7 linked regions of the Xenopus tropicalis genome follow. The protein of the gene in region 4 binds, or shares a complex with, the protein of the main gene of each other region. Links are inferred from orthologs where the notes say so. Each region holds a gene or a part of one and is shown on either strand. Other genes may lie near its edges. The genes, in order: nup160, nup93, nup188, nup98, nup107, ranbp2 and cetn3.

Region 1 (3,500 bases), on a different chromosome or scaffold from region 4:
GGAGGCTGCTTGACTGAAACAATCTAAAGCCTGTGGATAATAAGGAGAAATTAACACCTACTGGAAAATAGGAATACTATGCTCTGTATCACATGGAGCTGGACCCCAATAGGTATGATGCACAAATAGAGTTGTCATAAGAATGTTATTAGCAGAGTTTCACCTTGTGTCCTTCTCCAGCAACCAAGTAACACTGGGCCAACATGAAATGGCAGGAACCAACATTAACTTGGCACCATGGTAAAAGCAGCCGGACATATTCCTAGATGAAAGGGCAAGAAAAAAAAAATGAACAAATTGCAGGATAATTTAATTGACTTTATAAAGTCATGTGTAGGAGAATAAACTACATCTTTACCTGGAGCTGTGTGTATTGGCAGTTTCTCATCAGGCATTCTGCAAACTGGAAGTTAGGGTTACTGGGCCATCTGGTATGTGGCTGGGGTTAAGGAACAGGACCAAAGCCAATAAAAGAACAGTCAAGAGAGATACCCTATCAGAGTTAACCAGAAAGTGAGGTCACAACTGTCCAATAACATTACCCTTTAGCCCAGAGCAAAACATTGTTTCTAACCTTCATTTATTTGAATGGAAAGCTATGACTGACAGCTATAAACATCTGCCTGCAAGTTTCCACTTTATTATGTATCAATTGCTAATAAAACCACTGTGTGCATGGTATTTTGGTTACAATTTAAACTTACACTTAAAATTGGAAGACTCACTTACTAAGAGCAGGACAGGGTGCAAAGTACGAGCACAAAACTGCATGTTTTTAGTACCTTGCACCCTGCCCCTGGGCACAAGTCTTATGTGAAGTGTTACGCCCACACCACAGTGCTCTGCGGATGGACCTAAGATTGGCTCGGTAAGATCCTCTAATGCAGGGGTCCTCAAACTACAGCCCATTGGCCGTATACAGCTCCCCAAGGTCATTTACCCGGCCCCCGCTGTGTCCTCGCCTCTGGCTACTACCTGTCTGCCACACGTCACCACGTCTCACCGCCCAACGCAATAGTTTGAGGACTAACTACAGTCCACTCCCCAACAGTCCAGGAACGTGAACTAGCCCCCTGTTGCCCCCCTAATGTCAACTGCTGCCTTGTTGTGAGGGCAAACTGGACCATACTAACTGGAGAGCTGCTGGGAAAAAAATGTAAATAATTCAATAACCACAAAAAATAATATGACACTATGAATATCTGTCTACCTCATACTCCCAACACAATCTAAAGGTAAAACTACTGTTTTTACAGTAAAATGAGTGCAGATGGCACACAGGCAAGGATACAGAAGTTGTAGGAGGTAGCTGGTAATGCGATGTATAAGATCGGCCCAGTTTAAAGATCTGTGCACCTGACTTGAACCAGATTGAATGAAAAGGTGGGCAAAAACTTGAGGGAAATGTTTTCTTCCTACATCTTCAAAAAACAATTCCACAATGGTCTGGATTCCACTGGCTAATGGGGAAAAAAATTAAACTGTAATGCATGAAGAGCGCTGAAAACTTTAAGATAAAGACTCCTTTAAGATAAAAAAGTTCAAGAAATCAATACTTACTGTATCTGCGCTTCTCTACTTGAGAATCAGAAAGCTCCAAAACTGAGAGGTGCTGCAGGTTGGACTCTCTATAAGGAAGGCAAATAGCGCTCTGTGTTTATTTTAGAATCAACAAATAGATCCGATTTGCATATATTGTCATGACTCAGTGGAAAACAATTGATGTGATTAAACACAATACTAAAATTATATAAACTGTATTATTGTCATTTTTATCTTGGAAAAAAACCCAAAAAACAAAAAAAAAACTTACAATAAATCTACTGGGACAGCACAGGCCAAACACTGGCTCCCCCAGCGGATCATGTAATAGGACAAAAGCAGTTGAGCGGCGCGAGGGATAAGTTCCTGCTGAGAATGAAGAAGCTGCCCTGCTCCAACCAGTGCCTAACAAAAGATAAAAAAAAAAAGGATCGGTTATGTAACACCCCTTTTCAATGGGATTGTCCCAATCCACGACAAACTAAAATATTTGTACGTATTGCCAATGACTGACAGGTTTTCAATATAGTTTATGTATAGTTTATGTACAGGAGAATATTTCAAAGAAAAAGTTTCTTTCACCAGAGGTGAGGGCTAATGGACCCTGCACTCATACTAGAGGAAACTATTTTAGGCAAAAAATGCTTGTAGTGAGTGCTATGCCACTCACAGAGAGAGAGAGGTCCCAGCTGGGGCAGCCATCTTGGGACTCAAAGCATGCAAATAATGAGGAGTGTTTCAGCTTGCTCATTGTGCATATGTGTGACATTGTTTCAGGGGAACTGTTGGTCTTGGTAATGTTGTTTGTACATAGACAGGAAAAAGAATTGTGTACAGGGAGTGGTTGTCATTGAAACATTCTTGAAGTAGGGTTCTTAGAGTTCTTAAATCAACTAGCAATCTGGCTAAGTGGCAGCTGAGATTCAATGTTGCTAAATGTTAGGTTATGCATTTGGAATTTAAAAATATGCAGCCTCTTATACCCTTAATGGGACTGCACTAGACAAATCCATTATGGAGAAGGACTTAGGAGTCCTTGTAGACTTGGCTGTAGGAAGCAATGGCAGTAAGTAGTGATATGGGAAATTAGGTTCTGTCCTGTATTAAAGGGGCATAGATTGGCGGGAGGACGTGGGCCACTTTACAGAGTGCTGTATCTAGAATATAACCATAAAAAAAGAGAAAGCTATTTTGTTTTTACAATTAAGTTTTTTTAAATGGCTGTGGAATTGTACTCACCATGTCCCCTAGCCTCAGCAAGAGGTGCTGAAGAATAAGCAAGTCCCGACATATTAAGAATCTTGTGGCAGAGATTTTGTAAATGGCTTGACATACCACACTGGAAGCAGTAACACTCCCATAAAGAGTAGAAAGATTCAGTCTCACATTATGTTGCGCTGAAACAGACCCATTAAATACACCATTAAAATGCAGTCTTTTATAAACACACAAAACTTTGCAGAAACCCAGACTTACACTGTTCCATGTCCATGTTGGTTTCATAATCCATATTTTGAAGCAAGAAACTAATAGCTTGTATTGGATTCCTGATGTCCTGCAGTTTATTCTGAATATTTTCCATGATGTTGTCTCTAGTGTTCATAAAAAAACAAACAGATATTTTACAGTCTGTATTTTACCTAATAAAGCAATTTAAATCAAATTTTACACGTTACACTTTTTCTAAATCAGGACAGTTTGGTTGTGCTTTTTTTAAATTGGTGCTGAAATAGTAACCTACAAGGAATATCCTGCTTACTGCTGCTCTACCATAAAACACTGTAGCAAGCAGGGCTTTACAGATGATGTGCGACTGGCACAGATAACAATTCTTATTTCCTTACATGTCATTGGCTATCAAATCTTCCAAAATCTGCTCTGCAACTCTCTCTGGTGACTGTGGGTGGCAGCACGCACTCTCCATCTGATATGCCATGTCTTCGGTAATATAATCTGCT
Region 2 (3,500 bases), on a different chromosome or scaffold from region 4:
CCATATCGCCTTATTTCAAATGACCGGAAGCCAACTTTTAGAAGGTATTTTCTAAAAATACTAAATGGTTTGCAGGATAGGGCAATTATTGGGGCAGGGTAGAATAGATTTACTACTTAAAAAATTTTAGTGTTACTTTTCCTTTAATGGAATCTTAGAAATTGCCTGGACTTTCCAATATAATTATATATTATGTCCATAATAATTTGTTAATTCTTCCTTGAACTGAACCACATAAAACACTCTAGATGATTAAATATTACACCTGTAGAATTACAACATCAGGAGTGGTGAAAAGATATTCCAGCACAGTGTTTTCTTCTGTGCTGCACTTCGTTGATTCAAAGAATTTTTTATAGTGTATGAATTTTATTCCTGTAGGTTATCTCCAACAACAGAGAACAAGCTTCGCCTACATTACAGAAGAGCTGTAAGGGCAAGCACTGACCCTTACAAAAGAGTTGTGTACTGCATAATTGGAAGATGTGATGTAACCGATAACCACAGTGAAGTGGCTGATAAGACAGAGGATTACTTGTGGCTAAAGGTGAGTCATGCTTTAATAAGTATTGTCTCTTTAAAAATTCAATATGTAAGCATAATATTCACAGTGCTGTAGGCAACAAAAGTGGCACAGTATAGTGTAGTATTAGTGCTAATACTCAGAGCTACTTACTTGTCACAGCTACAAAAATAGACAATGCTGATAATTTACTAATTGTCTCTACGTGTGATTTAGCAATCATAATGAGACAATTCTCATTATTGTCTATGGCAGGGTATTTTCTGGTGATTTGTAGCCATGACAAGTACCTGCTACTAAGTAGCTCTGTGTGTCTTAGCCCTAAGGCTACTGGTACACAGGGAGATTTGGTGCCCACAGTAAACTGTTCGTTAATCACAAAAGGGCAACTATTACATTTGTATATGTTTCCTGCACAGCAGAATTGGAGTGGATAAACTACTGAGGCCAATAACACATAGTGAGATTTGTTGCCCGTGGTTAAACCTCGGCTGGGGGTGACAAATCTCTCAAATGCTTTCCCACTATCAATAAAGTAAATCGCCAGTGGGAAAGCGTACACAGCACTTTGTTTTCTGAAGTCACCTGAAGTTTCTTTGCAAGCCGTAAGAAAGCATTTGTGGGGGATTTGTCATTTGCGGTATCCCAGATTTAACCGAGGGCAGCAAATCTCCCCATGTGATATTGGCCTCAGTAGTTTGTCTATTCCAGTCCTTTTGTGTGTGTATATTTCTAAGATCGAAGAAACAATAGAGACCACAAACTCATAAAATTGCTGGGTAATAGCAGAAAACCATAGGTTTAGCTTTTAAGTTAAGCTTTGAACAGGGCAATGAGTTCTTATTTTGTAACCCAGTGCTGTCCAACTTGGGGCCGCAGGCTGCATGACCCCCCTCTGTGTGGCCCCCACTTGTCTGGCTGCTTTGATGGCTTACCTTTCTGTAAGCTTTAAATGGTATCAGTACTGTGATTAACTGCCCCCCTGCATTGCTCACACCCCAGATTCAGGCTGTAAACCCCCTGTATTGTTTAAAAATGTAATCCCCTGTGTTGTTCACATTTTTTAATCCTTACATTGTTCACACTGCAGGCTCAGGCTGTAAGCCCCCACATTGTTCACCTGTTCACACCTCAGACAGACTGTAGGAGCAGTAGATGCCCACAAATAAACCCTGCACACTACAAAAAGAACATTTACTGAGGTGGTACTGAAATTAAAAAGTTGTTTTAATATATAGTTAGTGTGCAGACTGTAGGAGCAGTGCCAGCATTGTGTCACTGTATACTGCCTGTGTGTGTCATACTCTGCCCTATGCTGCCTGTGTGTCCCATACACAGGCAGCATAGGGCAGGCAGAGTGTGGCACACACAGGCAGGGTAGGTCAGGCAGAGTATGGCACACAGGCAGCATACATAGGGCAGGCAGAGTATGGCACACAGGCAGGGTAGGGAAGGCAGAGTATGGAACACACAGGCAGGGTAGGGAAGGCAGAGTATAGCACACACAGGCAACATAGGGCAGGCAGAGTATGGCACACAGAGGCACGGTAGGGAAGGCAGAGCATGGCAGGTTTTTGCTGTACTACCAACATTAATATGGGTATGCTCATGTGATAACATGGGTGTGGTTTAAAAAAGGGGGAGTGGTCAAAACTGTCTTCCATTATCGGCCCTCCGCCATGTAGGCCGGAAAAATTCCGGCCCTCGGCACCACAGAAGTTGGACAGCATTGCTGTAACCTGTTTCTTAAATCAATGTAAGTTCCTCATTTGTTCTGTATTAATGTAAAGTGCTGCATAACTTGCTGGTGCTATATAAATAAAGCTGATGATAGATTCATGGAAGAATAGGTATAGAGTACAGAGTATAGAGAATAGGAAGAGTAAAGGCTGAATAGCAGTCTTATGTTTTGGTGGGGAGACACTACAAATTAATATTATGTTTGGTTAAGACTGGTATATATCGTTTTGTCTGTGTATCTGCTGGTATCCCCTGATTTTTTTTCCTCTAATTTTATGAAGCACCTCATTCCATTTTATTGGTTGCTTGCCTGTTTTGGAACCCTTTTAACCTTTCACTCGTAGATTCCAGTGTGCCCAATCACTATGGTTTTCCCTGTGCAGTTGTCAGGTTTTGTTTGAAACCAAACCTATTCATCTTAAAGGTCAAGGATTCCAGTGTTCACAATTTTGTATTTTTTGTCCAGTTAAGTCAGGTTTGTTTTGAAGATGAAGCTAACAGTTCTCCTCAAGACAGGCTGACATTGCCACAGTTTCAAAAGCAGCTATTTGAGGACTACGGTAAGATATTATATATATATATTTATATATGTACACACATACATACACATAAAACGCATGATCTTAATATTATTTATACTTTGTACTTCTAGGTGAATCTCACTTTGCTGTTAATCAACAGCCGTACCTATACTTCCAAGTCCTCTTCCTGACAGCTCAGTTTGAGGCAGCTATTGCTTTTTTGTTTCGTTTGGAACGTACACGTTGTCATGCTGTGCATGTGGCACTTGCTCTGTTTGAGCTGAAATTGCTTCTGAAGTCAACAGGGCAAAGTGCACAGTTATGTAAGTAAATTTGCAAGCATTCACTCAGTGCTTAATGGCTTTTTGTAGTGTATGTTTGAAAAAGTTGGATTTTCTTTGTTTGTGTCACAAACTGCATGGTCCTAAAATCAGGCAACACACATGAACATATTTAGTGAGCCGAAACACTTGCTGTGCATGCAAAGGCCCTAGCAATGCCATCCACACCACTAGTGGGCTTTTTGTGTGGAAGACACATTTCTCAGTGGGGGTCTATTTCTGTCAGGGAGTATAGATTGTTCATCTTCTATGTGTTGTTCAGATCACTAGTATGTTCATTATAATTATTTCTGCAAGTCCCCTTACAACAGAGCATGAAATGGAAGGTTTCTATACTGGACACATGGTTTATATATCAGTCATCACATTATCTCT
Region 3 (4,089 bases), on a different chromosome or scaffold from region 4:
AAAAGCATGAGCAATTCAGAACTCCGTAAACTACCTAGGAGTCAAGATTACAAAGTCATACATCACGTTATACAATGCCAATTTTTCCTCTCTTTTCTGGCCCCTTAGTAAGTTATTAGAGAACTGGTCTAAATATGCAATTTCCTGGCTAGGCCGGATTGCAGCCACCCAAATGGTTTTCTTGCCTAAATTGTTATATGCTTCCAGAGCCCTTCCCATCTATATTGGCACAGCAAAGCTATCTCACCTACAAAGAACTGGCTGGAATTTCATTTGTGGTAACAAATCTCATAGAATAAATAAAAACATTCTCTACCAATTATATAAACAGGGCGGTCTGAAAAGTCCCGAACTTACAAACAGCTAGAGTCGCCCAGCTTATTCAATGGCACCACACACATAGCCCCCTTAGATGGGTTGAATTTGAAAATGCACGCATATACCCTCTTAAGCTCTTTTCTTTGTTATGGGCAAATCATGTGAACACACAAAAGTATAATATCACAAATCCTATAATCAAATTCCATCTTCGTCTTTGATCTTTTGTAAAACATAAGCTAATCTCTCATACTTCATGCATCCACATACAACTCTTGATTGGAAACCCAGACTTTGTCCCAGGGATAAATGACATATCCTTCAAATGGTGGACCGACAACGGCTTCCTATTTCTGCACAACCTACTGACTCCCCGAGGGCTAATGTCATTATCTCTGCTACAGGAATCACATTCTCTCCCTAATTCCGAAATATTCCGCTATAACCAAATTAAGCATTTTTATAATTCCCAATCTCCACATCAAGCTACTCAGGAAGGCTCAGCATATGAGCTTTGCTGCCATAATCCCTCTCGCTTGAGAAATGCCATAATGATAATTTACTCTCAACTTATAGATGCTCCTAACTCTCTCCTGTAAAGCAGAGGAATACATGCATGTATGGGCGTACACATAAAGAACCTGCAAAAATAGATGCACTTGAAAGGCAAAGAAGCTGGCACTTACCCCATCTTTCATGGAAGAGCGTCCAAGCAGAATGGTCCATAACTCTCGGCTGGTCCTGTCAACACAAACAAGCACATGGTTTTTGTACATGGGTGGAATAAAGAGAATAATACAAGATATATCAGGGTAGAACCTTGGCCCATGACTGGTAATAAGTCAACCAAGATCCCAACTATGAAACAACTGCTACATCAGCCAGACAGCGGGGCAACTCTGCCCTGCCCCCAGCCAGGCAGGGGGGCAACTCTGCCCTGCCCCCAGCCAGGCAGGGGGGCAACTCTGCCCTGCCCCCAGCCAGGCAGGGGGGCAACTCTGCCCTGCCCCCAGCCAGGCAGGGGGGCAACTCTGCCCTGCCCCCAGCCAGGCAGGGGGGCAACTCTGCCCTGCCCCCAGCCAGGCAGGGGGGCAACTCTGCCCTGCCCCCAGCCAGACAGGGGGGCAACTCTGCCCTGCCCCCAGCCAGACAGGGGGGCAACTCTGCCTTGCCCGCAGCCAGACAGGGGGGCAACTCTCTGCCTTGTCCACAGCCAGACAGGGGGGGCAACTCTGCCCTGCCCCCAGCCAGACAGGGGGGCAACTCTCTGCCTTGTCCACAGCCAGACAGGGGGGCAACTCTCTGCCTTGTCCGCAGCCAGACAGGGGGGCAACTCTCTGCCTTGTCCGCAGCCAGACAGGGGGGCAACTCTCTGCCTTGCCCGCAGCCAGACAGGGGGGCAACTCTCTGCCTTGCCCGCAGCCAGACAGGGGGGCAACTCTCTGCCTTGTCCGCAGCCAGACAGGGGGGCAACTCTGCCCTGCCCCCAGCCAGGCAGGGGGGCAACTCTGCCCTGCCCCCAGCCAGACAGGGGGGCAACTCTGCCCTGCCCCCAGCCAGACAGGGGGGCAACTCTGCCCTGCCCCCAGCCAGACAGGGGGGCAACTCTGCCTTGCCCGCAGCCAGACAGGGGGGCAACTCTCTGCCTTGTCCGCAGCCAGACAGGGGGGGCAACTCTGCCCTGCCCCCAGCCAGACAGGGGGGCAACTCTCTGCCTTGTCCGCAGCCAGACAGGGGGGCAACTCTCTGCCTTGTCCGCAGCCAGACAGGGGGGCAACTCTCTGCCTTGCCCGCAGCCAGACAGGGGGGCAACTCTCTGCCTTGCCCGCAGCCAGACAGGGGGGCAACTCTCTGCCTTGCCCGCAGCCAGACAGGGGGGCAACTCTCTGCCTTGCCCGCAGCCAGACAGGGGGGCAACTCTCTGCCTTGCCCGCAGCCAGCCAGACAGGGGACCAGGAGAGTCTCTGCCCTGTCCAGGGGACCAAGTCCAGGAGAAAACACTATCATTTTGCTTTTGCAAATGACTTATACAGTGATTAATCCAGGTCTCCGAACGGCACAACACGGCTTGCTTTCATCTGAAGCATGTGCCCCTGTCAGAGAGAAAATGGTACAGTCCGGTTAGCCCTGAGAAAGTTTCTAACCGCTCTTCTAATGTCAGTGCCGGATATTTCCATTCATATAACCACATGGCCATATAAAGCTCTCCCCATATAGCGCCGGGCTGCCCAGCAATATTCCTATTCCCTGTTGCTTCCCACATGGACTGACTCACTCGCACTGACTTCCCTCTGTCCCCTGGGAACCAACTTCCCTCCCTTCTCCCTTTAAATTCTATATATGCTGCCGCTGCAGCTTCCAGTGTCGCTCGGAATTCACATCCCCTTCCAAAACCCTCCTCTCCCCGGTACCTCCGGTACAGACACCCGGCCGCCGCCATCTTCACGCCCCCTTCACGGCCTCACACGTGACGAGCCCAAGCCCCCCCCCCACTTCTCCAGCAGCGCGGTGCGTATATCACGTGATGCTCCTGCCCTGGCGGAAGTCAGCTGATTGGGTGACTGCACTAGTGCTCCTCCGCCCGGACTAAAGATGGTGGCGGCCAAGGTAGGTGAGAGAATGGAAGCTGCACAAAGATCTTTCACCTTCGCCCTAACCCTGTGTCACTGCTGCCTTGCCCATATATTGCCCATATACCCCGTATGGTGTTCTGCTGCCCGGAGGCTTTTGTTGTGTTGTTATGAGTTAATAGACTGACTCATTGTTTGGAGGGCACTTCCCCTAATGCATTACTGCTGCCCTCGTCCCAAGGAGCAAGAAGGCTTCCGCTAATGCAATTGAAAGGAAAAAATCCTATTTATTGGTTTAACATTATAAACTGTCTGTAGCATACAATGATCTGAATGTGGTGTTACAACCCATGTTACATTAGTAGATATAGTTCTCCTCCATTCTGGTTAATGGGCACTAGACCCTAATAAATGATGTATTTAATCAATATGTTCGTTTTTACCCTGTTCTGGTATAAAAAGGGTGTTTCGTTTGAAAGGAGTCCTGTGTAGCCATGGGGATTGCTGATTCTGGGACCTGTATGGTGGAATGGGCCTTATTTAACTATAAACAAAATATTTCTATTTGATCCCTCAAGTGTATTCTCTTTCTATTTATAATAATCCATGGGCTGGTTTGCTCAGTGCAGTATCCCATAGCAACCAATCAGCCATTAACGTGGACTATTCCTCTGAAGGAAAGAAGAATATCTAAGTTTATCTCTGGTTGGTTGATGGGTCTTGCTGCACTGACTTATTTTATATTATGATATGATTTTCTCGATCATCCAGTGAAAACATTTGGATCAAAGTTAGAATATGGTGCAGGTGTGTTCTGACTGTCCAGAAGAGAATGCATTGGGTCACACACTGGGCATTCACATCCAGAAGCCCCAAGCACTCAACTTATATTCCCACTGCATTTGATCTAAGGTGGCTGACTTGTATAATAAATAAAGGGTAAATCATTGGGTTGGAGAGTAATTTGTTAGGCACCCCCACCCCCCCAGTAATTATAATCGCTAATTGCAAGCACCTGCCCAGGGCAGCAGAAAAGATTGCTGGGAAGGATTGAAATGGAGGGGTGTCTTTGTAACTTACATATGGAATGTTTTGTTTGTAGGTGTGACCAATGACTGTATGTACAAAGATCATGCAAACCAAAGAAGTGGCCATTTGTACATTGAGATTCAGTTAGCATATCGGCACTTGCAGAAGAAAG
Region 4 (3,500 bases):
GGATCAGACAGGGCTGCTGTGAGACACAAGTAATAAGAAGAGTTCAAGGCAAAGTAAAACAGCAAATTAAAGATAACAGTAAATTAGCCCTGGTGCTCAAAAGGTTAGTTTTCTCCTATAAAAAGACAGCACTCACCGACTGGGGCCTGAGGCGCTCCAAATCCCAGGCCTGCTGAGGTACTGTTAAACCCGGCATTGCCGAACGCTCCCGTACCAAGTGTACCAGTCAGCTTCGGCTGGTTGCTCCCAAACAAAGATGTCTGCCCGGGGTTTAGCGCTACAAAAAGTCAAGAATTAATTATTCCTCTCCTTGAACCACACATTGCAGTTTTCCTATATGCACCCAACTATTGGCAAGAAAAGCCGTGGCAAAAGCACATTTATAAGCAGCACAATCATGTTGTGCCAACAGACACAAAGCTGTTCCCATTGCCTTCTATGGGAATTGTCCCATGTGGTGCCCCCTAGTCAGTTCTGGCCATTATGTTAGACATCTGCCCATCTAGATTTTTTGCTAACTAACTATATTAGAAACATTTTTCAATTTTACCTGTTCCAAAGCCCGTCCCAAGGCTCGGCCCGATGGTTCCCGTTGCTGTCTTATTGCCAAACAGGCTGGTTCCTGCTGTGTTTGAACCAAACCCTTTAGGACAAATATAGACGGGTCAGCTCCTTTAAACATTTACAGTTCTAAAATGGCATTTGTGAATCACCAAGAGTAGAGAGGAAAACCCATAAATATCCCAATTTCAGCAGATCCCAAAGCCATTTAGTGCCAGTTACAAGTGCATTTCCCCTAGCGGAGCACTAAAGCCAGACAAGGTTACGCTCTGGGCCCTGCACGTACTTACTGGAATTGAGAGAAAGGAATCATATCTGGGTGAGGTTCTACAGAGAAATCGGACTTTTGCCCCCAATGAGAATATTAATCCTGCTTTTAGTGTTTCAGTATTTGCTATTCTGCATTAATAAAATCAAATCTTCAGTTGAACAGTCAATACTTGTGTAGCAGGGCCATGAAACATGTACATCTCATAGGCTCTAACTAGGAACATCAAATCCAGTTCATGAAATCAATCAGAACCCTTAGGGTGAAGGCACACTGGGCTACTAGTAGCAGCTATTTTTTCCAAGGCTACTGCACTCCAGAAAATCCCCTGCTATAGACAATATTGAGAATTGCCTCTGCTATAACACACATAGGGACAATTATTAGTGACCAGCATTGTCTAGTTTAGTAGTCACGACAAGTAGCTGCTCTACTAGTAGCTCTGTGTGTGTGTGTGTGTGTCTACACCCTTAAAATAAAGTGAATTTTTGTCACAAACATTGAAACAATCCACCCTTTTTTCTCCAACCCAAAGCCCAAAATAATTGATTTGGTGCATCCCTCGTTCTAACCGTAATGGGATAACTGGACAAACCTTTTCATTGGCATAGTCATAACAACCAGCACAGGATATATATTACACATGATCAATTATCAGCCCAACAAGCATAGGGATTGGAGCAGAGTTTGCAGCAGAGCGCCCAATGATTAGGGCACTGGTTTTAAAATGTCTATCACTTTTCCCAATATAACTGCAGGGGTAAAATTATGGGGCAGCGGAATGACCTATGGGGGTAATGGGGCAGAGGAATGACCTATTATGGGGAGTTTTGATGAAAAACACATTGAAGCTTCATCAGCAAAGCCAAGTGCTGTGGGAGAGCCCCCCCCCAGGATAAAAAGTGACCCTTTTAGGGTACTGGACATCGGCCAATCATTAAGTTCACTGCATATTAACCCCTTGCAGTTGTGCTTGCATTATTAACTCTGTTGAACAGACCCAGGCTTGAAATACCTCTGCTAGGACCCAATGGTGGCAATTAAGGGTAGAAGCCTCATTGTGAGCAATATCACCAGAACCCCAGGGCACTTCTGTGGGATACTAAGATCTGAGCCTTAGCGGGCAATGGCAGAATACCCTGAAGCCTCCATCAGCTATTGCCTTCTTAGAGGCAAAATGCATTCATATATTCTTATTTTTGTGTAATTTCCGACCCCCTTTCCCGCTGGAGGGCAACACAAACTCACGGTGCCCAATGCAAAATTAGTTAACAGACATTGATCATGCAAACATTAAACCTAAATTCAGGCAGAGAGTTAGGGAGAAAGTAAAGCAGGTAAAAGAAAAGAATGCAGGTAAAGACAATTACAGTTCAGTTATACCAAAATGAGAAATGGAAATGTAACCCTATATAATTGTATTGCCGAGTTTATTTAGAAGAGAAAAGGCTATAAAACTCCCTCTTAGAGTGCGAGAGGTGAAGTGCTCGGATACACTGTGTATACCACACTAGGAGGCTTCACTAGGTTAGTAGTGATAGTGCACACGTGGCCATGCCAGGCACCAATAACCTGTGAACTGCAGCAGAGAAAATCAGAGGATTGTGGGTAAGCCGAACATTACCGTGCATGAACGCCACACATTGGGGCAATAACTAGCGCTTATGTTGGCAAACTCCAAGCTGTTCCATTGCACGGAATGATGAAAGCTCTGGGCACGGCGAGGGACATGCATTATGCCAGGTAAGGCAATAGCCTATTATACTGACAGTAGGTGCAATAGCATTCCACTTGGCACTAATAGGAGATTAGGCGGAGATTACAGAGATTCTCCTGCTAGTTAAGCAGTTAGTCTGTGCAGTCCTAGCGCTGCCCGATATCCATCTGCGTTTAGTCTGGCGCAGCGGGACAGGTGGTATACCCAGTGTAATGTTAGAGATTACATCAGGTTTGTTTTCTCATATGTACCAAAATTGGAAGTGTTTGTATTGGTTCCTAAAGTCAGGGTTGGTTTGTTACCAAAGAGCCCGCCAGTCGTAGTGCCAAATGCAGGGGCACTGGTCGTGGTCGTCCCGAAACCAGCAGGTTTGTTACCAAACAGGGTCTGGAAGGGGAAGAGAGAGACAAAAGTTACTTTCATTTAACTATACGACTGCCAAGCTGGGTCCAAATACACGAAAGGCAACATCTGTAGCATAACTGCCCCTCCCTTAAAGATCTATCATTTACTTCCTAACAGTCCTTTCCTCAAAGATTCCAGCAGGCTCTGCTATTGTTCTCACATGTTCCATTCAATTGATCTGCTGGCTTCATACTATTTGCAAATGATTCCATTTTCTTTTCATTTACATTAAGACATTTTAAAACTCGGTTTCCATGGGAAAAGCCTGACCAACTTCCCGAATAACTTCCTAATAGGATAGATATATCCTATAGATGATGATACAGATAGCAGCGAAGAGATCCGAACTCACAGGACTTATAGAATTAATATGGTGTAGAAGACTACACCATAAACTCCATATTAATTCTATAAGTCCTGTGAGTGCGGATCTCTTTGCTGCTGTATCTAATTCTTCACCTGGACCTGCACCCAGGCTATTGTGACCGATTGGCTTGAGTGCCGGATCTAATATAATATAATATATATTATTCTCAACTTTTCCCAGGG
Region 5 (4,221 bases), on a different chromosome or scaffold from region 4:
TTCAGTCCCTTCCCCAAGAGTTCCCCTCAGGTAGCACTACCTGCCCCAGAGTACCTTCCCCTATGGAAAGGTTGCTGCTCCCACGTAGCAGGCAAGCAAGCAATAACTGTTCTCACCAGGGGACACACACTGATTCCACAGAGGACTTTGTAATCACTGGCAACCCTGCAGACTCTTCTCTTTTCAATCTGAACTAACAACAAGTGGTACTGGCTGCTCACTCTGTATCTCTCTTCCCAAAAAAACCAGCAAAACAACAGGGGCTCCCTTTATCAACTGCTGGACCCGCCCCTTGATTTTTGGCTCCAAACTTAAGCACACCTCCTCCCAGACTGCACTGGGACATCCAGCCAATCGAGTTCTCTGATCCCCTACACATGAATGCTACAGGTACTGCTTTTGCCAACTCCTGGTCTGGGATCTCTTACCCCCTGCCCCTGATGCTCCACCCCCACAAAGTCTGCACACCTTGCGCGCAGCACTTCCCCCCCTTCACAATGTCCACGTGCATTCATTCACAGATGGGGTTGCAGCGGGGGTGAGGTGGTCGGCCAGGTTGCCTAAAGGTGGCAATACAATTATGCAATTATGCTATTTCCTGCGACCACTTTCATTCAAAGCTGAATTGTCAGATATGGAGGTATCCAATCTACCGATTCAGCCTTTAACGTAGATTTTGCAGCCTTTGGGTTATTAGTTTATAAGGTTATTAGTCTCATCAATCGCCAGCTTAAAGCTTGGCCTGCCTCTAAGTCTTCTACTAAATCAGCCCTTAGTTTGCACAAAACCACCAGAACCCTCAAAGTACAAAAAAACCCCTAAAAACATGACCTCATTTCACTTGGCCCTAGTTTTCACAATAACTCTTCCCTTTTTGGTCAGACTGGGAGAAAAGGTTCTGACGGCAGCCGGTACCGTTAGCAACCAGGAAACTCTTTTTTAGCTCCCTGGCAATGACAAGGATCTCTGAGCAGAAAAGATAATTGACTTGGAGGAAATATTGAGATTCGAGGTGGAGGAGAGCAATCACCTCCTAAGAAGAGTCTTTTTTTTCCCTTTTTGTTCTCCAACAAAAGTAGGAAGTGCGAGCAGAACAAATCCAAGCTACTTATTAGCAGCTACCAATTGTGTAACGCCGCCTTACTGGGTAGCGCACTGTCTCTGCTCGTCACTCCCATAAGGCGGCTACGTGATGCGTCACGACGCTTGCGTGTAGTTGTACGTCACAGTCTCGCGTGAGGAGACATGTGGAGTCGGGATTTTCTGTAAGACAGGAGGCTAGGAGCTTGCAATTAACAGCTTTACGGGAGGAGTAAGTAGCAAAGGTGTAAGTAGCAATCTGCGGCTGCTGGCTGTGTTACGAAAATCGGGATCGACAAGCGGGACTGTTGGGTAGTATTCAGTTAGGGGTTAGTCAGGGTCCCTGCTGTCAGTACGCTGCACACTTTGAATGGGAGGGCGGGAGCTTACGGTACCTACATGTTCTCTCTCTGCAGCTTTCGGTACTTCTGGCTTATTCACAGAAGTTTTAGTCCCGTTCTATTGAGTAGACTGAAGGACTGTTCTCCCTCTAGCCTGTATGTATCGGTCTGCTAGACTTTTCTGTTACATGTTTGCAACCTTGTGTGCATCATAGCGGGACTTTCTCACAGAATACACATCGAACATAGGAAGGACTGACCCCGTGTTGTGCTCTCTTGCAGCAGGACCAGCATGGATATGCTTTCGCCGGTAGTGCGGGAGGCAGAGGTTTCTAGAGCAGCTCGCCGCCAAAGCTCCAACAGGAGGAATCCTGGTATCCTTTTGTAATGTGAACTATCATCACAAATCACTGGTGTCCCCAATAATATCAAACGGGAAGGCTTTTGATCAAACAAAAATGACATTGGAAGTTAACAGAAATTTTTGGTTGTCATTTATCTATTACTATAATTTCTTTGTGATTAGTGTTTATGTTTTGCATGTCATTTTTTTCTAAAATCAATGGAAGGGCCCCTCCTTTATTGAGTCCCCTTTGTTTTAAATGGTTAAGGCTTCATTTTTAAATCTGTGTTGATTAAATGTGATAGTATATTTAAGTTTGCAGTGTCTGAGTATTACTCTAATTAAGGAAATAACCCATCGTAGGAGTAGGTTGGGTGGGTTTTTATTAATATTAACAGGCTGTTTATGGACCACAGATGTTTGATAGCAGTACCTGCACCAAAAACACAGTAATAGGCCTTTTATTGTCTTTGATGGGTTAATTTAATAAATGCGTCTTGTCTTGTAATCCATAGGAGCCAATCAGCATGTAGCACTTACTGCTATGGGTTAATATGTGTGACCAAACTTAAGCCTTTATTACATTATCCTACATGTCTCTAAAGCAAATAACATGGTTAACCCTGTCTCTTAGGCATTCCCCGTCATGACTCCCTGACTTTTTGCCTTACATGAATGCAACAGAACCAGTATTGCACTTTTTTGTTCTTTTTTTGTTCTGAGGCTATGCATGGGCAATGCAATTACAGTGTAATAAGAAACGCAAACAACAATAATGATTAGTTACTTTAAGCTGGAAAGTCGGCTAATATTTTCCCGGTGCTTGCTTGTTTCCCTGGTACTGTTTAGAGAGGAAATATTGAACTGATTCCAGAAAAAGCTTTTGTTGCCACACTTAACGTCTTGCCTAGCTGATGAGAGCTGGAGCAATGCAACACCAGCAAGAGGCCCATTATCTCGCACAACAGGACAAACACTATTTCGACAGCACAGTAAGATGTTTATATATAAACTGGGTCTGCAGTTGATAATCATGGGCTTGTTTGATTCATCTTGTAGAAACTGTCCCACTGACTTGTGTTTTACAAATATCAGCATTCAGTCATGGTTATTATAAAATTCAGATGAGTTTGTATAGTAACCTGCTTGTGTAGACATTTTGGTTAAGGGCATTCTTGCTGTTTTGCCATTTCTTGATGATGATATTCCTATTCCTGTCTTGTGCTTCCTGTTAAGCTGAGAGCAGGCCAAATCTACCTGCCATGTTCTAATAAATATACCAAAAGTTCCAGTGTGTATCTGACTACTTTACCTGAACTAACACAGCCGCAGTATTAACCCACTGCTAGCCAGCAGTTTATTACAGTGGGGGCGAGGATGAGATTTATAATGCTGAGAGAGGGTCTCTCGAACTACAGCTCTGACAAAATCCTTAAGCCATATCTTGAAAAGAGAGATGAGCTTTCCATAGATCAAGGTTGTTTACTGTGGGGGATACGGGTTGTCATTCCCCCTAAAATATCGTCAGAGGCTCTTGCATGAACTTCACGAAGGCCATCCAGGTGTAAACAGGATGAAAGCACAAGCTTGTGGTTACCTGTGGTGGCCAGGCCTGGATCAAGATATAGAATTTTTTGTAAGTCAGTGTACTGCTTGTGCTTCTGTAACACGAGCTCGTGCTTTCATCCTGTTTACACCTGGATGGCCTTCGTGAAGTTCATGCAAGAGCCTCTGACGATATTTTGGGGGAATGACAACCCGTATCCCCCACAGTAAACAACCCTTATCTATGGAAAGCTCATCTCTCTTTTCAAAATATGGCTTAAGGATTTTGTCAGAGCTGCAGTTTATTACAGTTTGGATATAAGAAAAAAGTAATACTGAACATAGTATTTATGCTGTGAAAGTCTTTTTTTTTTTTTTTTGCTTTCTGGTATGTAAATGTACTTTTCACCTTTACCTAGTGACGCCACAAACCTGGAATTCTTCAAGGCCACCAGATGTTTCGGCAATACTGGGCACTGTAGGGCGATCACCTCGCTTGGTACAGACTCCTGGGCGTTTGGCAAACATGTCTATGGTAAGACAATCCATTCTACAGAAGGCATTAAGGCGGCACAACACAGGCAGATTTCAGCTGCCGATTCAGGTCCTTAAGGCCTTAGGGGCAGCTTATCTGCCCGTGTATGGGAACCCCCGACAAGCCTAGCCAACTGACATCTGGCCTAAAATTGTGCAGATTCCGACAGGTTTGATTTTTCCATTGGATGAACAAGCCGATGCGGTCCTCGGTCCGACGGCACTGTCTAATTGGCCCAATATTGCCCACCTAAGGTGGGTAATTGGAAGAAGATCCGCTCTTTTGGTGACCTTGCCAAACCAGTGAATCTTACAGTGTATGGCCACCTTTAGTCTTCAGTTTCTCTTTCATGTGATTTATCCTATACGTATTTTGTG
Region 6 (2,902 bases), about 68 Mb from region 4:
TGGCCCACTGGAAGCTGGTATCTACAAAAGCAAGAAGCAACATATTAATGTCAAAATATGTGATCAGCTTTCAGATAACAGTGTATTTTCTTGCATTCTATTTCTGCATCTTTTGTCTGGTAATAAAATACCCTCAGTTGTTTTGAGGACATCTGCATTTAAGCCAACAATCAACAGTACCCCATAAACAGAGCAACCATCATGCCACTTATTGAATTTTTGCTCTTCTGATGTCTATAAGTAATAAATAAAAAAAAAAAATGAGCAACAGTAAGGATAACTTCAGGTTTTCTAAGAGTGTGTTTTAGCATGAAGGGAGGTTGAGAACAAAATGTCCAAAACTGCTCTGTGCCCCTTGTCATATATTAGTTTGTAAGAAACTATTTAACTTTACCTTTAGAACCAAAGGCATAATCCCCAGAATTTTCCGATGCTAAATCTGCAAATGACACTCCGGAAACTGTACCAAGCCCAAAGGAGAAACTAGAAGCAGAAAATCCTGTGAAAATAAAGAAAACTTTCAAATACAGCCAAGTGATATTTCCATTACAGTATATAAAACTACTATAATAAAATATATACATTACATTTACTTGTATGAAACTTTGGGCTTGCTTTATTAAAAAGAGAATTCAAATTCTTTATTAAAGCCATGTATATTATTGCTATTGTATATCGGACCAATGCATTGTCGACTTACACAAGCTTCTTAAATACTGGATTCATAAACTGAATATACAGTATGTCAAGATCTAAACAAATCCACATCACTGTGTAGGAATACCTTTGCTGGTGGAGTCTGTTTTGGGTAGCTCCTGTTTTGAGGACAAGTCTACAGGCTCCTGGGAAATGATTGTAGTGGAATCAGGCTCTTGTTTTGGGGGCAGGGAGACACTGGTTTTAGCTGCACACACTATTGGAGCTTCATAGGAACTATTTACATCTTTTTCTGGAACTCCCTGGAATAATTAAAAACAAATGATAAACACGTAATTAAAAAACCCAAATTCCTCATCATTTTTACATCATGTCCCTCTCCCACATTTTGCATTTATGTGCAGACAACTGCCACTCCTGATCACTGAAGCTACATCTCTGACAACTTCTCCTTTCTCACACAATTCCTATACTTTTATGCCACTACTCCCCACAGCATCAACAAGTTGTACTGCAAGTCTATCGGATAGTAATATATTACTTACAGTACCCACTGCAACATCTTCTCTTGAAGAGTTAAAAGAATCCTTGTCCTATACCTTAATTGTTAAAATATGGGATTTGGTGGTACCGTTGGTAGGGGTTGGTTTCTATTCTTTAAGCCGCTTTTTGCTGCTGTGGGGTGCTATGGCTTTTACATAAAAAGCGTAACATGCCAGCCTATATTATAGACAATTAATTTCCCTTTACTGCCAATGAGCTTATTTTCAAAGTCTATAATCCTGAAAGGGCTAGACTCAAAAGAAAAATGTTTTAGGTTCTCCTAAAAACACAATGTAATACTGTGTTTACATGTTTAAGTGGAAGTGCACTAGTACAGGTATCGGACCCCTTATCCGGAAACCCGTTATCCAGAAAGCTCCGAATTACAGAATGCCCGTCTCCCATAGACTCCATTTTAATCAAATAATTCAGAATTTTAAAACGGATTTCCTTTTTCTATGTAGAAATAAAACAGTACCTTGTAATTGATTCCAACTAAGATATAATTAATCCTTATTGGATGTAAAACAATCCTATTGGGTTTAATTATTGTTTTATTGATTTTTTAGTAGACTTAAGGTATGGAGATCCAAATTACGGAAAGACCCCTTATCCGGAATACCCTTGGTCCCGAGCATTCTGGATAATGGGTCCTATACCTGTACAATACATATTCATTACAGGGCAACTATACCTTCATTTAATATTGTGTATGCTTGTGATTGTCTATGTTAGTAAATTCAATTATAACTAGTTCCCTTCTGGGGCCATGAAGAAAAACTGCTGGTTTACAGTAGAATGTAATGCTTTGTACTGCTTAGGAATGGTTTTAAAACTCTGTTGTACCTGATTGCTTTACTATGAAACACAACAGTGGTCGCTTTGTTTGTTTGTTTGTTTGTATGTATAACTTTATTTATAAAGCGCCACAAGGGTACGCAGCACTGTACAATCTTACAGAATACAAAATTACACACAGGGAGGACAAGTGATATAATAAATAAATACAATAAATATATATAAGTGCCATGTGGTATGAGACACAGTAGGAAGGAGGTCCCTGCCCCGTAGAGTTACAATCTAAGTGGTTGGGTAACATACAGGCACAAACTGGAAGGTAAGAGTGCACCAGGTATGGGCAAAATAAGGTCTTAGTGCTCCAGAAGGTAACAGCTGAGCGTGGGTGGGAGTGTTTCCTATGGAGGGATTCAGGGATAGAGTTCCAGAGGTAAGGAGCAGCGAGATAGAAAGGTTTAAGAAGAGAGCACAGTGGGTGTGAATGGTGTAAAAAGACGGAGGCTCTGAGAGGAGCGGAGAAGAAGACCAGGAACATGCAGGGAAACCAGTGAAGAAATGTAGTGAGGAGCAGAGGAGCAGAGGAGTGAAGGGCTTTGAATGTTAGCAGAAGGATTTTGTAAGCTATCCTTTGCTTAACAGGCAACCATGCTAGAGAGCTTAATTAAGGCTGAACAGGTTCCCTCTTCGGAGAGAGCAGGAGGATCCTGGCAGCAGAGTTTAAAATTGATTGCAGGGGAGAGAGGTGGGAGTCTGGGAGGCCAGTTAGTAGGAGATTGCAGTAATCTAAGAGGGAAAGGATAAGGGCATGTATTAGTGTTTTAGCAGTTACTTGTGAAAGAAAGGGGCGTATATTGGCAATATTGCGGAGAAAAAAACGGCAGGTTTTGGCAGTGTTATTAATATG
Region 7 (4,294 bases), on a different chromosome or scaffold from region 4:
CAGGAAGGCCATCTTCCATAGACTCCATTATAAGCAAATAATTCAAATTTTTAAAAATGATTTCCTTTTCCTCTATATAGTATTAAAACCAGGGCAATCTGAAACAAGGGCAACTGCATCAGAACTGAATAATTAACCCTGTTGAATCCACTTATATGACAGACATATGTCATTTTCTGCTTGATAATTTGCAATGACCCCTAAGCTCAGCTTCTCAACTGCCTCTCAGAGCTCACCGAACATGTGCACTGCCCCCGACAGTTCTAACAGAATCCAAAATGGGGAGCTCCTGTGACAACTGTAAAGACCTATATTATTACTACTATAGAGATGCTGAAACTTTTGGCTAATGTCAGACAAGGCGTATGGTGTATATTTTTGGCAACCTGAAAATGCCGTAAATGCCGCCATACACCTACTACCTGTGCCTGCATCCGAATGTATGTAATACGCCCGTGTGCAAGACTTTGCATTCTCTTGCGTTTTTATATGGGTATCGGCTACATGTGCCTGCACCCGAGCGTATTCTATTCATTCGGCCTGGTCTGACATTAGCCTTAAGCCAGGTACAGAAGAACAGGAACAGCACCTCTTGTCTTTGTAAATTAAAATGCCTTTATTGCAAAGTTTTTTGGGGCAAAGAACAACAGCAGCAACCTTTAGGTCTTATGTGACCTGAAACGTTGCTGCTGTTGTTGTTTGCCCCAAAAAACTTTGCAATAAAGGCATTTTAATTTACAAAGACAAGAGGTGCTGTTCCTGTTCTTCTGTACCAGGATATGCCGATGGAAAGTGGCCATTGGGGAACCTGCACTACTTCTAACTAATCACAAGGCTTAGTGCTGACTACTACTCTCCAAATTAGCCTTAAGCCAGTCCAGTCAGTTTTTTATATAAAATATGGCATTTCTAGCCATATTCATTTTTAGGGAATAGTTTACACTAACTGGCAACCACACAATTAAAATAAAAAAACGTGGAAGCTATTAGGGAGCATGAATTGCTGCTAAAAGGTATGAGTAAATCATCCAAACTAAGTATGTTACCAGATTTACACAGGAATGGGGTTACTATCAAAATATATTTCTATCATTTTTACTTTAAAATTCAGCCCTGATATGTGGGTTAGGTGGCAGCTCCCTTCATGCTTTAGCTCGCTGTAAGGTAGTGAAGCATGCCGGGAGGTGTACTATTCAAGCGTTACGGGGCCGCTTGCATTTCTCTCGCACTGTGCATGAGTTTGAGCTTCCCGCTCCTTGTCACACTCCAAGCGCCTTGTTACGTCACTGCCTAGTAACCAGCTCATTTTTCCGGCACCTCCCCCAAGCGCCTCACTGCTCTCCAATCACAAGGCGCTGTTAGTGCCAGGCTGATCCCGTTGCTAGGGGAGAAGTTGTAACGGTAGCCAATCGGAGGCGCTGCCTTGTGTTTACGAGGTGGCGCCTAGGCCTGTAAGTGGGACAGCAGCCCCGGCTGACCGAGGGAGTGTGGCAGCGCTGTGCGTCTGTAGCGGAGGAGCGATGAGCTTGGCTGTGAGGTGGGTGCATTGGAAGCACAAAGGAAAGGGGGTTCACAGCGCTGGAAGGCTGGGACCCCTATAGAGTTAGGTTTATATAAAATAGCAGTGTCCTATCTGTGCTACTTCCAGCTTTTGTTATACTGAAACTCTCAGCGCCACATGGTGATGGGGTTAGTTGCAGTTAAACAACAGCTGGCGAGCTGCAGATTGGATATTCTTTATTAATACACTAACAATTACAAGTGTAACGCCAAATAGGTCCTTTGCCATTTGACTTACCTTTTGTGCTCTGAGCCTCATGTATGTGTTCCTTTCCCCTGAAACTGTTACCCATCAGTCTCCCTTAGCAGGGGGCTATTTATTGGTGCACTTTGTGTCAGAACTTATCTTGTCTGTGTAAATGCCTTTGTAATGTGAAAGTGAAATATAAAGTGATTATATATATATTAGTGTGTATCAGAGTGGGGGCCGGCAGAGACAGAACTGGTACAGATGTTACACTGGATTCCATACACTTTTATTGGCCCATAGAGTGAATAAGTGTGCCAATACATGAGCAGTTTGGCTTTTCTTAAAAAGACAGTAACTGGTTGGCCCCTGACTGGATGCAAAACCGTAAACGGGTACATTTGGCTATTTGGCTCTCTGTGTGGGTGGCTGAACTAAGGGAGGATCCATGCAAATGTTGCCCTGACCACACAGGCAAGTCATTACGTGTATGGCAAGCTGCATATGGAAATGCTCTCATTTCTTGTATGTTTCTGTTCTGTTCCATCATCACAGCTGACTTATGCCGGGGGACAGGGATCTTTCACTAGAGACAACTCTGGGATTTTATGTTGGTGTTTCACTAGTGAACAAATCATTTTTGGGCTCATCTGTAAAAATGTACATTATCCTAAATTATGGGCCAGGAATAGTTTATATGAATTAGGGTGCGATTTAGGTACAATGCTTATTCCTTATTTAGGTAAACTAAATAAGGCTAAAAACCACCATTCCAGGTATTTACTACAGGTGTGCAGATCCTTGAATATAAACACTTTGTATATCTAGTTGTATCCCAGATTAGAACAGATTCCCAGGTTGGAACACAGTACATCTGTCCCACTTGTATTCCAAGTGTTTAGAAATGTCAGCTAACTAGATGAGGAGTTGTAACTACTTGGGGGTTGTAGTTCTGTAATACTTGAAAAGCCACATACTGCGCTAGCAGCAACAGCCTGTTATTTGTTTTGAAATATGCTGCACTGTGTGTTTAATGGCAACAGGAAGATCAAAAGGGCACAGCACACAAAGTGTTAAACAGTGCAACCACCACCAGGCCAGAGTAACAGGAAAATTCAGTTTCAGTGTTATGTGCTTTGTATGTTTTATGTTAGTAACTCACGTCTCTCGCAGGACTGATCTAGCAGTTGACAAAACGAAAAAGAAGAAAAGAAGAGAATTAACAGAAGAACAGAAACAGGAAATAAAAGATGCATTTGAATTATTCGATACAGACAAAGATAAAGCAATAGATTATCATGAATTAAAGGTAATAAAACTTTTTCCAAGATTTGGACTTGGTGTTCTTAGTGTTCTGCCAAGCTGAATCCATGCCATGGGGCTTTAAAGGAGGGAGTCATTAGGTGGGGGTGGCATGTTTGGGTGTAGAGGTTCTCTGTTTATCTGGCTGTGGGTAATTGCTTTACAGTGTCAGCTAGGGATCCAAGTGGTTTGCAGGTTAGATTATAAATTTGATGACAAGATGAGTTTTAGGGCTGTGACACACGGGGAGATTAATCTTCCTTGTCGCGGGCGACTAATCTCCCCGAAATGCCATCCCACCGACTAGAATGTAAATTGCCGATGGGATGGCATACGTGGCGGCGCGATTTGCCGATGTCGCCGAAGTTTCCCGTGTGTCACAGCCCTTAAATGATACTTAAAATGGCCTGACTCTCTGTTAATGGTTGATTGTATGGAAACGGGATAGGGTTGCCAACTTTTCTCTTGGGCAATACCAGCCGAGACGGAAAAGTGGCAGCATGATGATGTCTGAGGGCTTAAGGAGCTGTGATGTAAAAAAGGGGCAAGTTGTGATGCAGAGGTGGTGGATCAAGCAGTGATTGGGTGAGTAGGAGTAGGCAGGTTTATAGAGTGGTTGGGGGATACAGGGGAAGCGGGGAGAGGTGGTTGGTGCAGGCTGGGGATGTTATCAGTAGGGATTACAAATATAACAGTACATTTCAGTTTCCGTGTTGCTGGTGTCTTTTTTTTTTTTTTTTTTTTGTAATAAATATATATATATATATATAGATATATATAGAATAAAACACAGCCAGCACCAAGGGTCTTGTGGTTTAAACAAATTTCCGTGTTGCTGGTGTCTTTTTTTTTTTTTTGTAATAAATATATATATATATATATATATATATATATATATATATATATATATATATATATATAGATAGATATATATAGAATAAAACACAGCCAGCACCAAGGGTCTTGTTTATAATAAATAAAATACACGGCCTGCAAGGGTGATAGTAGGGTGAGTTTTTTCATACATAATCATGTATTTTATTTACAGGTAGCAATGCGAGCTCTGGGATTTGATGTAAAAAAAGCAGATGTCCTAAAAATCCTTAAAGACTATGATGGTGAAACAACAGGCAAAATTACATTTGATGATTTTAATGAAGTTGGTAAGTGGGAAAACATGACTGCAACATACCCTAAGTTATGCATCACTTTTAACAGCCACAAGCCAGATTCCCACCCAGTGAA

What was found.
Region 1: nup98 (region 4) and nup160 share a complex: the UniProt entries of both Homo sapiens proteins name them as parts of the nuclear pore complex. The link is inferred for Xenopus tropicalis from reciprocal best matches to the Homo sapiens genes NUP98 and NUP160.
Region 2: nup98 (region 4) and nup93 share a complex: the UniProt entries of both Homo sapiens proteins name them as parts of the nuclear pore complex. The link is inferred for Xenopus tropicalis from reciprocal best matches to the Homo sapiens genes NUP98 and NUP93.
Region 3: nup98 (region 4) and nup188 share a complex: the UniProt entries of both Homo sapiens proteins name them as parts of the nuclear pore complex. The link is inferred for Xenopus tropicalis from reciprocal best matches to the Homo sapiens genes NUP98 and NUP188.
Region 5: nup98 (region 4) and nup107 share a complex: the UniProt entries of both Homo sapiens proteins name them as parts of the nuclear pore complex. The link is inferred for Xenopus tropicalis from reciprocal best matches to the Homo sapiens genes NUP98 and NUP107.
Region 6: nup98 (region 4) and ranbp2 share a complex: the UniProt entries of both Homo sapiens proteins name them as parts of the nuclear pore complex. The link is inferred for Xenopus tropicalis from reciprocal best matches to the Homo sapiens genes NUP98 and RANBP2.
Region 7: nup98 (region 4) and cetn3 share a complex: the UniProt entries of both Homo sapiens proteins name them as parts of the nuclear pore complex. The link is inferred for Xenopus tropicalis from reciprocal best matches to the Homo sapiens genes NUP98 and CETN3.

The regions. Positions count from the first base shown.
Region 1 is NC_030680.2:15,991,165-15,994,664, reverse strand, and holds part of nup160 (nuclear pore complex protein Nup160), read right to left. Parts: coding exon 3,387-3,500; intron 3,135-3,386; coding exon 3,019-3,134; intron 2,940-3,018; coding exon 2,782-2,939; intron 1,948-2,781; coding exon 1,814-1,947; intron 1,629-1,813; coding exon 1,561-1,628; intron 1,461-1,560; coding exon 1,292-1,460; intron 429-1,291; coding exon 359-428; intron 263-358; coding exon 164-262; intron 31-163; coding exon 1-30. UniProt on the Homo sapiens protein: Functions as a component of the nuclear pore complex (NPC). Involved in poly(A)+ RNA transport.
Region 2 is NC_030680.2:43,632,648-43,636,147, forward strand, and holds part of nup93 (nuclear pore complex protein Nup93), read left to right. Parts: intron 1-381; coding exon 382-547; intron 548-2,729; coding exon 2,730-2,823; intron 2,824-2,915; coding exon 2,916-3,107; intron 3,108-3,500. UniProt on the Homo sapiens protein: Plays a role in the nuclear pore complex (NPC) assembly and/or maintenance. May anchor nucleoporins, but not NUP153 and TPR, to the NPC. During renal development, regulates podocyte migration and proliferation through SMAD4 signaling.
Region 3 is NC_030684.2:22,851,539-22,855,627, forward strand, and holds the start of nup188 (nucleoporin NUP188 homolog), read right to left. Parts: upstream 2,801-4,089; 5' UTR 2,759-2,800; coding exon 2,730-2,758; intron 1,060-2,729; coding exon 1,005-1,059; intron 1-1,004. UniProt on the Homo sapiens protein: Component of the nuclear pore complex (NPC), a complex required for the trafficking across the nuclear envelope. Required for proper protein transport into the nucleus.
Region 4 is NC_030678.2:177,452,780-177,456,279, forward strand, and holds part of nup98 (nuclear pore complex protein Nup98-Nup96), read right to left. Parts: intron 2,934-3,500; coding exon 2,849-2,933; coding exon of another isoform or gene 2,798-2,848; intron 644-2,797; coding exon 551-643; intron 278-550; coding exon 137-277; intron 17-136; coding exon 1-16. UniProt on the Homo sapiens protein: Plays a role in the nuclear pore complex (NPC) assembly and/or maintenance. NUP98 and NUP96 are involved in the bidirectional transport across the NPC. May anchor NUP153 and TPR to the NPC.
Region 5 is NC_030679.2:58,822,412-58,826,632, forward strand, and holds the start of nup107 (nuclear pore complex protein Nup107), read left to right. Parts: upstream 1-1,421; 5' UTR 1,422-1,479; coding exon 1,480-1,577; intron 1,578-1,703; coding exon 1,704-1,795; intron 1,796-2,675; coding exon 2,676-2,756; intron 2,757-3,728; coding exon 3,729-3,844; intron 3,845-4,221. UniProt on the Homo sapiens protein: Plays a role in the nuclear pore complex (NPC) assembly and/or maintenance. Required for the assembly of peripheral proteins into the NPC. May anchor NUP62 to the NPC. Involved in nephrogenesis.
Region 6 is NC_030678.2:109,274,624-109,277,525, forward strand, and holds part of ranbp2 (ranBP2-like and GRIP domain-containing protein 4), read right to left. Parts: intron 960-2,902; coding exon 785-959; intron 500-784; coding exon 395-499; intron 22-394; coding exon 1-21. UniProt on the Homo sapiens protein: E3 SUMO-protein ligase which facilitates SUMO1 and SUMO2 conjugation by UBE2I. Involved in transport factor (Ran-GTP, karyopherin)-mediated protein import via the F-G repeat-containing domain which acts as a docking site for substrates.
Region 7 is NC_030677.2:178,970,795-178,975,088, forward strand, and holds the start of cetn3 (centrin-3), read left to right. Parts: upstream 1-1,494; 5' UTR 1,495-1,520; coding exon 1,521-1,537; intron 1,538-2,920; coding exon 2,921-3,056; intron 3,057-4,097; coding exon 4,098-4,212; intron 4,213-4,294. UniProt on the Homo sapiens protein: Plays a fundamental role in microtubule-organizing center structure and function. As a component of the TREX-2 complex, involved in the export of mRNAs to the cytoplasm through the nuclear pores.